Struthio camelus: one gene and its partner. The protein of the gene in region 1 purifies or fractionates together with the protein of each later gene. This does not show direct contact. Links are inferred from orthologs where the notes say so. Each region holds a gene or a part of one and is shown in the gene's direction. Other genes may lie near its edges.

Region 1 (7,287 bases):
CTTTAAAGAGGCTTTAATTAATGGCACCAGAGATCAGGTGAAATTTTTTGAATTAATGACCTTTTAACCAGGAATGTGAAATGAGAGCATCAACCCATTCTGGACACTCTCTGAATTAGACTCTCTCACTTGCAAACTATCATTTGAATAAACATCACCATAGCTAGGGTAGAAAGCAAAGACGGAAAAAAAAATGAGTAACATACACAAACCATCCCCGACACGCAAGATTCTCTCTTTTCCTTCGCTTTTACAACACGGCCATTTTTAAACACACTTTGGACACTGCCACTGTTGTGGATCTGTGGCTAATAGACTTGTTTAGCCGAATGCTAAGCTGTTAGGGCTGTTTGCGCTTCTGCCACTGTTGCTGCTACAAGTATTTTTATTTTGCTACATACATTTTAAAGTTTTTATTTTGTTTTATGCCAAAATACTACTGAGGAGGAAGGAATCAATAGTATAACTGAAGAAAGGTATTTGCATTGGCAAACACTTTCAGTGATGGCAGCTTTCAAGTTCCTCTGAACAAGGAATACGGTCCCCAGCTGTCCAGAATAGTAAGGCTCCACTGTACAGGCACAGGGTGAATGAACACTGTTTCATCCTGACCATCAGATCCTTTTATTCAGCTTCCCCTGCTCCCTATCAGATGCCAAAAGTGTGCACAGCCCTTCTGGGTTTCCATTCCTATCCAGCTCTTGGGGGGAAGGGAGGATCCACTTGTCCTTTAGGCCTTGAGCCATAAGACTTAAATCAGGAATGATATGTTCCCATGCTCTCACACCCTGGCAAGCTTCAGCACACTGCAGCTTTATTCCTTACAGGCTAATATCGATATGGAGTGTATCTGTGGATAAAATCACCTCAGGGAAGAACTTGTTCTTCATCTACCAATATCTTAAATGATTCTCAGAAAAGCAGCACAACACGGATCATTTCCAGTAAGTGATACTTAGGTAATTTCCAGTGAATGACCCAAAAATGAAAATGTGGAGGAACAAGCACTTAGTCCACTCCAGAGTGGTACTAAAGTTAATTGTGAGGACAAGCTCACTGGGCAAATAGCATTTAAAGTTACCTGACTTGGTCTTTTTCATTTAGATGAGCAAGCACCGAGAGCCTTTACATTTGCTGTGCAGACAATACTGTACAGTGTACATAACTCTCTCCAGGGCACCAAAAGCAATTCTGAGATCAGAACTGCTGTGGATACCAACTCCCTTAGGATGACTCTCTGTTTGCCGGATGACTATCTGTTTGCCAGAACAGCAAGGGGCTTCTCAAATTAGGGCAGGCATTTTAACAGAAAAACACTGCAATAAGTACTTGCTTGGATTTATAACTAAGGCAGAAGACAATAACAATATACCACACATTCCAGCAACTCCATTATCCCGCTGTGTGTATGTCTCGTTCTGTCTCAAGAGTTTAAGAGTTTATATAGTAGTTCATCTGGGGTTGACTGCACAACTAGTACAGAACGGGAAGATACTATTGGCAGCAGAATAAATAAAATTTTCTAATGAGTGTACTGGGTTTATGTTGTAGATACAATTCTCCTCCACAGACCTTTATAACTGTAGTCCTGGGCTTACCCCTGACTTCGTTCCCAGAAAAGAGAGAACTGCTACAATCTTTTCAGAATATTTGCACTAAAAATAATCATCAAAGATCAAAAGATGGCAATTTTTGCAGAAACCCCTGATTTACCAGTTAATGCTCTTCTAATCCACATGTAAATCACAATTAATAAACAGTTACGTTACTTTTCCATGAGCTGTCTCCAGGCCCTGGTTTGCATTACAGATTCTAAACATAACTGCTACCATAGAACCCCCTCTCCTAATAACGTAAGTAAGTTGCTTTCACAGTATTAACCACATCCCCAAATATCATAAGCAAAGACGAGCACAAGCTTCTAATATATGGACGGTTATCAGAAGAGCAGAAATCATGTGCTTTTGTGTTAATACACACTCCTCCTCTCCTCCTGCATCCTTCTCAAAGCTCACCGATGCCTCAATGAGCCGCCCAGCTGGGATGCACACAGAGGGCTCCTTAGCTGACAGAGCTGTCCTTGGACCCAAGCGTGACGTCTACTCACGCTCCACGGGCAGCGACCTCCAAGCCTTCCTGGCCTTGGAAAGTAACATGTGCTTGGGCAACATCACTCTTCATTCTCTCAACCGATGGGACCGTGGTGGGAGCTTCCTCTGGCTGGGACCTGCATCAGACAGCTTTGTGGGCATCTTGGGGTCTAGGAGCTACTGCTGAGGGTAAAAAAGGACACGGTGCTTCAGTAAGTTAGGCCATTTGCCTACAAATACGGACTGGTCAGCAAGTTCACACCCAGAGAAAAGTCTACTCAAGGTTAAAATCGGTGAGGAAGCTGTGTTCCATTTGTTTAAGGTTTGTTAACTGGCAGACAGTTTCTGTTCTTCTGTTTACTTTCCTACACGCAGCCTGTGCAAGATCACACCTCCTAGAGATAAGAACACTTTTTGCTCATTGAAATGTGGATTTAAATTAATCTACATTTTGGTTTAATCAAAAAGAATCTTCACGTTGAGGATGGGCACTTAAATTCTTCTCTGCTTTCCTAAATCACCAACTTAAACCACACACGTTGTCTTGTTTATATTTCAGAAGGAGTCACATGTGGCACGTTCATTAATTAGAGCACACCTGCAAAACTACAGATAACCTGTTCCTCAGTCTTGCAGGCAGAAAGATGCAGAAAAGCTAATCCCTACAAATCTTCCAAAGTTTGGACTCACAATTCAAGGAAAAATTGCTGAGGATTTCAGTCAGGTGCCTGCAAAAACACGCTACGAACTTACTGATGTATAATGTCCCATCAGCTATGCTTCAGAGATATATCCGATGCAGCCCTCCAAAGAGTGTAAAAAATAATGACTTTCATTATATAACGTGAGAGAGCACTTCAGCCACTGGATTTGGAGCACTTTACTGCATTGCAGCCCCCGGACAGGAGGGAAATGCAACAGCTGATGGCAGATATTTGGACGTGCAAAACAGAAATCTGCTTCAAAAAAAACGTAGCTGCGTAAGCACACACGCACCTCTCACGTAACGCCGACTGACCCTTTCCAGCGAAAAACGACGTTGCGGAGGTGGGGGCGCGAGCTCAGCTCAGCCTGCTCCAGCCAGGGGCTTTCGGCCTCGCGCAGGGCGATGCCAGCATCAAGCGCTCGCAGGTGGTGAGAGCGGCGAGGGGATGGAGGCGGCCCGGAGCTGGCGGCGGAGAGAGGGGCAGGCCGAAGCGAACAGCGGGCAGAGGGGCAGCAAGGCCACCGGCAGCTTCACTGTGACACGAGGTGGTGGTGGGGGGGACTGGGACTCAGGTTTCTTCCCCTTTCTCATTAACATCAAACATTTTGCAATCCCCCTATGTTAATTGGCGATGTGGGCTGAGGTACGAAGGGCAGCCCGCCTGCCTCAAGAGCTAAAAGCAACTTCTCTATTATGTTAATTGGTAAAGCAGATTTCCCTGAAGCTTGAGCAACTGAGCCCTTGCTAAACTTTGTATGACCTTTAATTTTGCTGAACGCTTGTGAAGCTCTTTCATAAGGGGCTTTCTTTTTGAAGCAATCACAGAGGATTGGTGTGTTTTGCCTCTTTGTATTTCTGCTTTTAAGATTGCAACAGGGGTATGAGTTACAGTGATTTGATTGTCCGACACACTCGTATTTTTGTACTTCTGCTTTTTAAAATAGGCAACGTGGAAAAGCTGAACCACGTAGAGCTACATGATGTACGTGAGACCGAGAGCACATGCTGAACGCAGTCCATTCAATCGTTACAGCGCGGAATCAGGTCAAGGACTCGCGATTTGTGTTGCGCTGCCGAGTATGGTTCAACAGCGCTCATTCTCTAGCGAAACACGACCGTCTTTTGCTCACACCAGGAGCAACCTACGGTCGGCAGCTACTTCGTGAGTGAAGAAAAGGCTTTCCGGCCACGCGGCCTGCCCTCCTTCCACAGCTGCCTCTTTGGGGCTACAGCCGTTAACAGCGCCCAACGTTTCCCTGCCGCGAGCTCTCGCACGGAGAGGGCAGGGAAGCAGAGGGGCACCGGACCCTCCCCTCCCGCCCGCGGCAGCCGGCGGCGCGGGGCCGCCCCCGCCCCCAGACCGGGCGAGGCCGCGCCGGAACCGTTAGGGCACCGCCCAACAGCTACCACCTGCGCGCCCCCGCCCGCCCCTCCGTGCCCCCGCCCCGTGACGTCACCCCAGGTGCTTTCCCCGCCCTCCGGGAGGGCGTGGCCCGGTAGGCGGAGGCGCGGGGCGCGCATGCGCCTGGCGGCGGCGGCGGCACCACCACCACCAGCAGCGGGTCCCGTTGCGAGCGTATGTGCGCGCGCGGCGAGGCGGAGAGCAGCGCGCTGGCCGCTCCCGTGGGCTGGGCGGCGCGCGAGGGGGTATGAGCCTGTCGGCCGCCAGCGGCCACTCGCGCTCCGGCCGCCACCGCCGCCATGTCCGCCGTCATCGAGCAGGAGTTCCAGGAGATCGATGCCACTAACGACTGGCAGGCGCGTTATTTGGTGAGCGAAGGGCGGCGCCGGCCGGAGGGGAGAAAGGGAGAGGGTGAGGAGATGGGCCGCGAGCCGGCGGCGTCCGTTGCCGGCATGAGCTGCCTCCGCGGGGAGCGGAAGTCGCTGGGCCACGACTCGCTTTCAGGTGCGCGCAGCGAAACTGCGGGCAGGCAGCGCGCATGCTCCGAGGGTGCTTTTTTTTTTTTTTTTTTCCCCCCCTTCCCCCTCCCCTCCTCTCGGGAGGGGGTGCGGACGGGGATAGCGCATGTGCTGTGTGGCAGGGGTTGCCGATGCGCATGCGCACGGCGCGGCGTGCGGGGGGGGGGGGTGCGCTGCTCATGCGCGGCGGCGGCCCGTCCGCGGCGGGGCAGGGAAGGGAAGGGAAGGGGCAGCGGCGGCTGACAAAAAGCGGGGAGTTGACCGAGCTGCGGGTGCTTCCCCCACGCTCTCCAGGCTGGGTGGAAAGCTATATCTGATCATTTCGATCCAAGCCAACGCTTGTCTTCGCCCCTCGGTTCGCCGCTCCTCCGGCTAGTGCCTGCGAAGTGGCTCCTCAGCTGCCGTCTCAGTGCACGTCGCCCCTCCTGTCACGGCTGCCTTAGCATCCCCGGGGCGGGAGCAGGAGCAGGGCGATCGTTGCGCAGGAGCTAAGCTGCTTGCTCTGTCTCCCCAGAAACAGCGCTGATTAACAGTGGCCGCAATGATATGCTTTGAGTCCGTGGTCTAAAATTAGTTCCTAAGTACTGTTATGCTACTGCAGTTATTTGAGCCAATGTGTATTTTACAGTGTTCTCTCACAACTGAGGGAAAACGACCCAAAACGAAGGTTCTCTTCGTTAACTTCCAAGTTGGGCTTTGTCTCTGTTAAATCTTCAGTGTATTTGATTTATATGTATGCATATTTCAAACACGTTATTTCTAGGCTATGGAACGGAACAGTGGTTTGAATTTAACAAGGGATAATAAGGAAAAAACGTGTGAAATTGTTGTGATAAAACTATGGGAAGAATTCTGCAAATAGTATTTTTCGTGAGGTGAAAATGTGCTTGCATATTATGTCTGGATATACCAGACATAATAAGAAAGCTAATTTAGCTTTCTCAAGGCATATTAATATTATTCAATTACCTTTGGGGAAGTAAACGCAAGAGGAAATTGTAATTTAAGCTCTGCAGAACTTTGTTTATGGATTTTCCTAGTTTTACTTACAGCTGTGTTGTACAGTTTCCTTGAATAAAGATTTTTATATTAAAATTTTACCACTTCCTGATTTTATAGGCCTGCAAACTCAGGAATTTTTCAATATACTAGAAATACTTCATACTTCAATATGTAAATGTTTTATATTAAAACCAGAGACTACAGATTTGTTAAAGCGAAAAAAGGAAATGCTATTCTTACGTAGCACAAATTCACAGAAAATAATCTAATCACCCACTACTTGTTTTTACCCTGAATTTTCCTATGGTATGTTTTTTTTCCTATGGCAGTGTTGTATAGGATGCGTACGTATTTGTGATTAGAGGTATAATTTTCTTTGAAGAAAAGTTCTGAAGGAAAAAAAAGGTTGTTAGGTTTTTTTTTTGCTCTTTCTGTTGATACCAGCTCTGTATATTTGCTGTTCATTTCCATGTATTTGACAAGACTTAGGGTAAATTTTTTTTTTAAAAGCTTGGAGTGTTTGTGCTAACTCCTGGAGCTTCTGTCCAGTCTGAATTAAGGACTGAATAAGTAACTCTTTCCCCCATTTATCTTTTCTATGCAAGTTTTTCTTGTGTAACATGCCTTCCATTACACCTTGTATTTGATTTGTCTCTCCAATTTGTGAAGACTGCATCATATGAAGGGAAACTGATTTTAGAGGCTAGTCTTCCTTAGGTTCACTTCTCTTGAGCAAAGTCCCTCCTCTCCCCCACCCCCATTGCTGTGGTAGTGTTTTTAACTGGTCCGATGTCTCATGACCAAATTACAACATCCTCTGTGCACGCTAACAGATTTGATGTATTTACAAACAAAATACGTCGCACCCTTTTATGGAACAATATAAAATTTACGTTTTTGAGAGCTCTGTAGTGAATGCTTAACAGATGCACTTGTTGACCATGCGTGTGGTTGCTCCCAAAGCTTGTAAGATGTTTGAACTAGAGAAGAAGACAAGCTGCAATGTACTGTATCAAAATAAAGATTTAATCATGTAATCAAGTGATTTTTTTTTTTATACAAATATTCAAAGAATTGGTGCTTGGTTGCTGCTGCTCCATGTTGTGGGTTAGGGTCTTTACAGACTGTTGCTGCATTTAAAGTAACATCACACAATAAACATTAATAGATGGAGAGTCCTTGTGTATATTAGATTTCTGTTAAAGACCTTTTTGTTTGTGTTCATTGTCTGAGAGTATGCAGAGGGCTATTTCAGAAGTTTGAGAAGACCTTGTTTGTGGTAGTGGGGACATACAGAGAAGACCAAGGAATGCTTAGTTGTAAAGGGAAGTTCAAATACCCTTTAGTACACGGTGATTGCATGTAGTAGCAACATCTGAAAACAGAAGGAGAATTCAAAACAAAACATTTTTAATTCTATATTTTACAACAAATCTTCTGAGATGGCATCAGTATAGAATATAAAGGCACAGTTAGATTCACTGGAAGCTGTTTGTCAATAGCACCGTAGTTGAGTTTTCAGTTGCCTACAGTAGATAAATCGGTACGTCTTAGTGCTACATGAAGGTG
Region 2 (7,624 bases), on another chromosome or scaffold:
CAGCCTGGGGGTAGGCAAGTGCAGATGGTACTTGCTGGCTGAGACTGGCTGTGTGTTAATTCATCTGATACCCTCCCCCAAACACACAAACCCCCATCTTGGCTGCACCAGGCTTCATGTAGCTGCTAGGGTTACCAGCCTTGCTGTGCTCACTGGGTGTCCTTCACTTAAACCACGTTTCCACTGCTTGCAATGCTTCCTTTCGACCCACAGCCTTTGTCCCTGGTGCGGTGTCCTCCTAATGTTGTAAAATACCCCTCAGTGGATGTTGCTAGTAAGAGTTATCCTAAAGGGACAGAGCCCACGCCCCTGTCTCTGGCCTTTCAAGTATTGATTTTATCCGTGGTACCTATGTCATTCTGCCTCTTTGAGGGCTGCTTAATTGGAGCTATGGGTTTCCTTCTATTTCTGGATAATGTTAACCTAGGGTACTTGGGGAGTTATTTTTCCTTTGGGCAGATTCTTTAACACAGCTGCCTGCACATGTGTGGGGGTGGTGGTGGTGACTTCAGGCCCATGCATGAGAGCTTGTCAGTACTGGAAAAGCCACGAGGTGCAGGGATCGTGCTGTAGCGCAGCTCCTGCTTCGTGGCGTCGAAGGGGCCCAGCAGAGCCCCTGAGCTGTGCTGCCGCCTTGCCCTGTCCTGGGCTCTGACACGGCCCGAGGAGGCTGCTGTGTTCATGCTGTACGGAGGCAGGAGCCAAGTTTAGCTGCAGCAGGAAAACCTGTCATAGGTTGGTGCCCTGATACTGGTGGGGCTGTTTCTGCTGAAGGGCTGCGTGGTGCTGCCGCGGCAGGGGCTGCCGGGCTGTGTTGCTGTGGAGCGTGAAGGTGTGAGTCCTGGCTGCATCCCAGGCCCACAGCGGAGCTGCCGAGAGTGCAGCGCTCTCATCTGTGTCATTTTTTTTTTCTTTAGTCCAATTAACCATTTGGTTGTCTGTGCAATATTCTCTCTTCTGAACTATTCTGCATCTCCCTGAGCCTTTTCTAGCTGGGGTGAAAACCAGAAACAATTCTAACAGCTGGTGGTTTTGTAATGACGACTTTCTCCAAACCTTTTACAGACTTGCAGTTAACAGCAATTAAAGGAATTCTACAGAGTCGCTGCCTGTACTGGGTGTCCTCATTTCGTCTGCCGGCAGGGTGGGGGCTGCCCAGAGGGTCTGTGTCTCTTGGACTGGTTTTGATTTCTTTTCCCTCCCACCTCCGCCGAGGGACATGCGCTTGGTTGGGAGGATGCTGGAAGAGAGGGATAGGGCATGCTGGGCTGTCCTTTGGCTTAGTGCCTTGGCTGCATCTTCTCCGTAGTGGCTAGCCAGGCAGGGGAAGGGCTGGGGTGAAGCTTCCCGCCCTGCTCGTGGCCAGGGACACACGGCCGTGGATCCGCCGGCTGTGTGAGACGTGCCAGTGCTTGAGATGGTCTTGGGAAGGTGGGCAAACGCTGCTCAAAGCTCCTTGGAGCACGTATAAAGCACGCCTTGTTCTCAACTCATGAAGGCCAGGGGCTTTGGGTGAACAGATGAAATGCCTGAGCATGGGCTAGACCCATCATCTTGGCTCTGCCAGCCAAGGCCTGGCCTGGCCTGCCCCCCGCGGGATGGATGGGTGGGAAACACTGACGTGAAAATGTATCAGCGTTTTAGAAGCAATCCGTCCCCTTTATTTGGGGACAGCATTGACGAGCCCTTCTCAGGGGCTAGTCAGCCACGGGTGCCAGCTGACTTCCTCGATGGAAGGCCTCAGGATCATATCTGGCTCCAGGAGGCTTTTCAGGAGGTCCTGGCACTCCTCGGAGACCCCCAGGTGCCTTGGCAGGGAGACCCCTTTCTGCTGCTGGCGCAGCATCTTGGGGATGTCCGTGTCGTCGAAGGGCAGGCTGGCGCACAGCATCACGTAGAGGATGACACCCGTGCTCCAGACGTCACCCTTGCGGCTGTCGTGGGGGACGCCCTGCAGCACCTCGGGCGCCGCGTAGGCCGTGCTGCCGCAGAAGGTCTGGCTCAGCTCCTTGCGGTTCCTGGGCAGCAGCTTGGCAAAGCCGAAGTCCGTCAGCTTCAGGGTGAAGCCCTGCAGCAAGGCGTTCTCGCACTTGAGGTCGCGGTGCGCCACGCCACAGCCGTGGCAGTACCGGATGGCCTCGACCAGCTGGTGGAAGAGGGCCCTGGCGCGGCGCTCGGGCAGGGGCCCTTCGTGCAGCACGCAATCGAAGATGTCCCCGTCCTCCGCCAGCTCCATCACCAGGTAGATCTTCCCTTCGGCAGACTCCAGCATCTCATACACACGGATGATGTTCTTGTGGTCCAAGCGCTGGACGATCTGGAGCTCCCGGGGCAGGAATCTCTGGATAAACTCTGCGGCGAGAGAAAGAGGGGTTTGCTTGCACTGCGGGGATGAGGACGGCCCTTCGTCCCTGAGCTGCTGGCTCCTGTCACCCCTCCAGGGCTTGGCCAAAGGGGTGGGTGGAGAGAGGGAAGGTCCTTTCACGGGGGCCCTATTCCTTATGGCCTTGCACCGAGCATCCCTGCAGGGCTTCTCCCAGAGCGATGCAGGGACCGGGGACGCAGGGAAGCACGGCCTGATGCCCCGGGCTGTGCTTTCTGCCTGCAGCAGGGAAATGCGGGAGCTCTCCCACCCCCCTGGAGCTCGGGGGCAGCTGGAGCCCCCCAAGACGCTGCCTCCTCTCCTGCTCCTCGGAGGAAAGTTTGGGAAACTAGTTTTCTGCCAAGAACGAGAAGCCTCCAAGGAGAGACCGAGCCTCAGCCTGGAGTCCTCTCCGGTGTCATCTCTTACCATCTGGACCTTCCTTCTTATCAATAATTTTAACAGCCACTTTCTTCTGGTGCTTTTTGGAGAAAGCCTCCTTCACTTTGGAGTAGGTTCCCTCCCCAATGGTCTTGCCCAACTGGTAGCCATTGACGAGCAAAATCTCCTCCATCTCCTCTCGCAAACCGGGCCCGTCCGTTCTCTCAGGTCATCGCACAGCAACTCCGCGAGAGCATCCCAGCGCCCGGCGGCCGCCCGCGCCCCCGGCTGGCATCTGCTGCAGCCGCCGCGCCGCTGCGTCCCCGGCCCGGGCAAAGCCCCCGGGAAAGGGGGCACCTAGGGACATTTTAAGATGCGCGTGTCCTATTGTGATGCAGGTGACGCTGCGTGAATCGGGTGATGGAGGGGCGCCCGAACGGGCAGTGGCTCGGGGGCAGCGGTGATGGGCTGCGCTGAAACGACCTCCTGGCAGGCGCCGTGAGCAGGTGGCGGTCGGGGTGCGGGGCTGGGGGGCCCTCCGGGTGCTCCCCATCCTTTTGCTGTCTCTGATCTCCCTGCGTCCTGTCCCTGCTGCTCTGTTCCCCCCCAGGGCAGGATTTGGGGAGGTGGCGGGGGGGTTCGGAGCAGGAGGCGACACGCGGGAAACGCTCCGCTCCTCGGCGGCATCCTCCACCTCCGGCAGTGGCCCCGCAGGGAAAGACCCCGGGCGGCCGAGCGTTGCCCACGCACCCCACGCTGGACCCGGCCCCTGCTCTCGCCTCTCCGTCCAGCTCGAGTTTTTCCAGCCGGGGAAGCGGGGAGCAGGGGGTTTTCCCGGTGGCGCGGGTGCCGGCGGCATTGTGATGCGGGGGCGCGCGGCGGGTCACAGAGCACCTGGCCCCGCTGCCGCCACCGCGCTCAGCTCAGGCAGGGACGCCGCCGAGCCACCGCACGCGCCACGGGGCCCGGCCAGCGCCCCGCAGCGTGGGGCCGGGGGGTCGGCTGCCGCCCCGCGCGCCTGCCCTAACCCCCCCGCTCTCCTCTCCGCTCGCCCAGGTCTAGGGCTCGGACATGAACTCCCAGGAGACCCCGCAAGCTCGGAGGTTTCCCATAGAGGCGGGCGACTCTCCCGGCCTGGCCGTGGCTCCCGAAACGCAGGAGCCGGTAGCCGCTCAGCAGAGCGCGGGAAGGTAAGGGCTGTGCCCCCTCCGTGTCCCCTCCTTGGCGAACACAGCTGTTTTGCTCCCCAAAACATCACCCCAACGGCCCGAGACCCTCCGTCCTGCGGGGGGGCCAGGTTGGCCCCCCGCTTTCCTGCATGCCTGAGGGCTTTCTCGGGACAAGGTGCGCTGTGCCGTGCCGTGCCGTGCAACGCTGTGCCGTGCCCCGCGATGCTGCGCCGTGCTGCTCCACGCAGCCCAAGCAATGGCATGCAGTGCTGTGCCATGCCGTGCCGTGCCGTGTTGTGGCGTGCCATGCTGGGCCATGCCGGGCCATTTTCTGCCACGCCATGCCGTGCCGTGTCATGCTGTGCCACGCTGTGGCATGCCGTGCCGTGCCGCTGGGCTAACCCTGCTCTCTCTCCCTCCGCAGGCAGCTGCGACGATGCCCCGGGAGCCACTGCCTGACCCTGCCCAACATCCCCATTGACGTTTTCATTGCCATGGGTGGGAACCGCCGGCCTCGCACCACCTAACGGCCCCCGCGCCGGCGCGGCACGAACGGCCCCGGAGCGGGAGAGCAGCGCGGGACACGCGGATCGGCGACGCACTTTATAATAAAAGGACTTCTTAGAGCGTTTCGGCGCCTCTCCTCCTGGCCTGCTGCCCGCCACCGGGGTTTTGGGGGTTGGGACGGGACGGGGCGGTGCTGGTGCTGGTGCTGGTGCTGGTGCTGGTGCTGGTGCTGGTGCTGGTGCTGCGCTGCCGCCCCCGGCCGCTGGGGGCGCCCTTGCGGCGCGGGGCGCTCCTTTAAGGGGCGGGGCGCCCGCAGCGCTGGAGGAGGTTTGTCCCTTCGCGGCCGCCGTTCGCCGTCTTCTCCCCTCGCCCTCCCTCTGTCGCTGCCCGCCATATTGTGGCCGCCGCAGCTCGGGAGCCGCAGCCGGAGGAGCCGCGATGGGTGAGGGCGGCCGCGGGGGTTGAGGCGGGGGGAGGCCGGGTCGGGCCGGGGGCAGCACAGCCCGTCCCGTCCCGGCGGCTCGTAGCCGGGCAGCGGGGTGGCAGCTCCCGGGGTGTGTGTGTGGGGGGGGGGACCTGCGCGACCGCCCCGCCGGAGGGGCCGGTGGTTTTTGAGGTGAGTTTTCGGGGTTTTGGGGCGGGAGCCCCCTCTGCCTCGGGGTCGGAGCCGGCGGCGGCGGCCTTTGAAGGGAGCTGCCGCTGCTGAAGCTTCGCCGCGGCGTCTGGGGCCTGCTGGCGCGCCTGTGCTCTCTGAGGGATTTAAATGCTGAAGTCCGTAAGGGAGCGGGACTTGCCGGGCCGAGCTGCTGCTGTGCCGCTCGGCCCGCGGGCGAGCTGGCGGCGCCCCGCTCCTTTCGCCGGGCCTGCCCTTCTGCCTCTTGCGCTAACGCCGCAGCCTGCAGTTTTTCCCTCTCTCCGTGCTGCACAAACCTCACTCGCAAGTTGTAATTCCGGCCTAAGCTGGGTGAGCACCCGCCTTGCACGCGGTTACGTCTGTTCCTTGTCGTGGTAGGAAATCGAGGGTGAACGCTTCGCGTTTAACGCAGCACCAGCAGCCGTGTAAGCGTAAACGCGGAGAGGCTGTCGGATAGCACTGACTCCGTACGGCATGTCACTGTAGACAAAACAGTCTCCCGACGCTGTGCAGGAAACGAGTATAGTGGGTGACTTTGTATATTCATAAGCAGCCTAACTAAATATAGTTAAGCAAGGGTTCAGGGAGATAGCAGATAGCTATCTTTTGTTAGCTACAAATAGTTCATAGCTGAACGTTGTCCTTCAAAAGGCATTTCAATAACAGAAGACTTCTTTTGTTGTCTTTGAGGTAGCGCCAGAGGCTCCCTAGTCAAGGAAGCAGAAATGTCACTTTTTTGAGGCTTAAAGTAGCAAGGCAGGGTTGAATGGATGAGGTGAATGTAAAAGGCAAGCCTACAGCAGGCTTATCCCTTACAAAGTAGAGTAAGATTCCCCTGTGAAGTAAGGACTAGTTTGTTATCAATTTTAAGCAGCAGTATTATCTTTTGACCAGACCTGCTTTCAGAAGTCTTAAATGCCCTTTATAGTGGGATGCAGCTTGATCAAAATGACCTTGTTAGAAACTCTTGTTCCTTCTTCAAACACCTCTTGTGATGTTCCAGAAGAAGTTAGTGGCTGCAAGTCTGCATATGCAGTGGCTACAGAACTATCCAGTCTAGAGTAGCTTTTAAAACTTAATTTATAGCTTGAGATTTAAGATCTTGACTGGCAACTTTGAGTAGAAAAATGTCCTCAGGCCTGTTGGTGAATGTCTGAAAACTGTGTGTTACCCACAGCTGAGGAAGCTTATGCAAAGAAGCTCTCCTGTCCTTTCCCCTCCCATTCCCCAGTTTCATGTTTGAGCTTCAAGCAGACTTTTTTTCTTGACAGCCACAATTTAATACTCTTCCTTCTCTGAGTGATCCTAGTATAACTGTTTTAATTTGTTTTAACAAACCAAGGCTGCTTTATCTGTGTTTTGGGGTAATGCAGCTAAATTGTGGAAGGACAGCATTGCCCCTTTTGCTTTGTATGTTGCAGGTTGAATACAGTTGTGTTTTATAAGTAGCTATAGGATATTGGTCTTGCCAGTGTTACTGGAAATGGTCATCAGGTCTTCTCCTTCATTTGTTATGCAAATTCATGTCTAAATGTTTTTATTGCATATGGAGCATAATGCTCAGTTCTTAAACCAAAACTTATGTGGCTGATGGATGATTAGTTTAACTAGTTATTTGGCTAGTTTGCTTTGTTTGTTTGTGTTTAGCAGAGAGCAAACATGAACTTTGTAAAGGGGAGCTCAATCATTAAAATGGCTAGTGTAATAGTGAAAGTACTAATTCCTTCATCCTTTTGGTTTTCAACTGTTGTGCTAGTGAGACTCAACCTCAAACTTGCTCATCAGAAATCAGTACTGTTTGGTTGCTTCTGTAGCAAAGCACATGTTGGGAAGGATAAGCTTGTTGGGATCTCAGCCCTCTGACTTCCTTCTGCTGTTTCTAGTTGCTTTAAATCCTATAACTCATTCCTGTCTTGAGTTTGATTTGACTTACTCAAAGACTTAGTTTGTTTTTTTTTAGAACTGTGACAAAGGACTGTCTGACCTCAGGTGGGAGATTGTTATACCTGGTAGATCATCAGTATGCTCTTAAGGAAATCTGAATGTCTCCGAACATGGGAATGGGGTTGAGAAGAACTTAAATTCCCCAAACTTCAGATTTGGGGTGAAAAGATCAGGAGGAGGTAGAGCTGAGACTAGGGTGTTTTGAGAGCCAGACCGAGGATTAGGTGGGTCCCTATGTTGGGGGACAGATAGGATAAAAGGAGTCCTAATCTTAGATTGACCCTAATGAAAGACAAGTACCCTGTATGAGTGTTAATTCTCCCAAAGAAAATGGTTTTTGCTCTTTCCCTCCCCCCTCCAAAGCCAGCGCCATCAGCGAAGCGGTTGCACATTCCAGTAATGATATCACATCACTGGCTCTTAGTAGCTAAAACAGAAGGGAATGAGCCAATGGTGTCTGCTGCACTGGACAGCCAAATAACTGCATGGATAAGCGTTTTACTAGCACAGAATGTGCTGTGTGCAAAGCACCCAGCTAGGGATAGTGGCAGGCTGTGTTCAAGACAGCTCTCAAAGATCACTGAATCTGCGTGGTGCTCATTCATAGTAAATGCTCAGGAAGAACCT

What was found. The genes of interacting proteins can lie anywhere in the genome.
Region 2: the proteins of PTPN2 (region 1) and KPNA6 purify together in Homo sapiens (affinity purification with mass spectrometry; 3 studies listed by BioGRID and IntAct, with this or other methods). This does not show direct contact. The link is inferred for Struthio camelus from reciprocal best matches to the Homo sapiens genes PTPN2 and KPNA6.

What each region holds. Positions count from the first base shown.
Region 1 is NC_090943.1:113,532,568-113,539,854, forward strand, and holds the start of PTPN2 (tyrosine-protein phosphatase non-receptor type 2), read left to right. Parts: upstream 1-4,269; 5' UTR 4,270-4,497; coding exon 4,498-4,566; intron 4,567-7,287. UniProt on the Homo sapiens protein: Non-receptor type tyrosine-specific phosphatase that dephosphorylates receptor protein tyrosine kinases including INSR, EGFR, CSF1R, PDGFR.
Region 2 is NC_090964.1:8,518,929-8,526,552, forward strand, and holds the start of KPNA6 (importin subunit alpha-7), read left to right. Parts: upstream 1-4,623; 5' UTR 4,624-4,857; coding exon 4,858-4,861; intron 4,862-7,624. Other genes in the region: TSSK3 (testis-specific serine/threonine-protein kinase 3), read right to left, coding at 1,691-2,352, 2,792-2,936. UniProt on the Homo sapiens protein: Functions in nuclear protein import as an adapter protein for nuclear receptor KPNB1. Binds specifically and directly to substrates containing either a simple or bipartite NLS motif.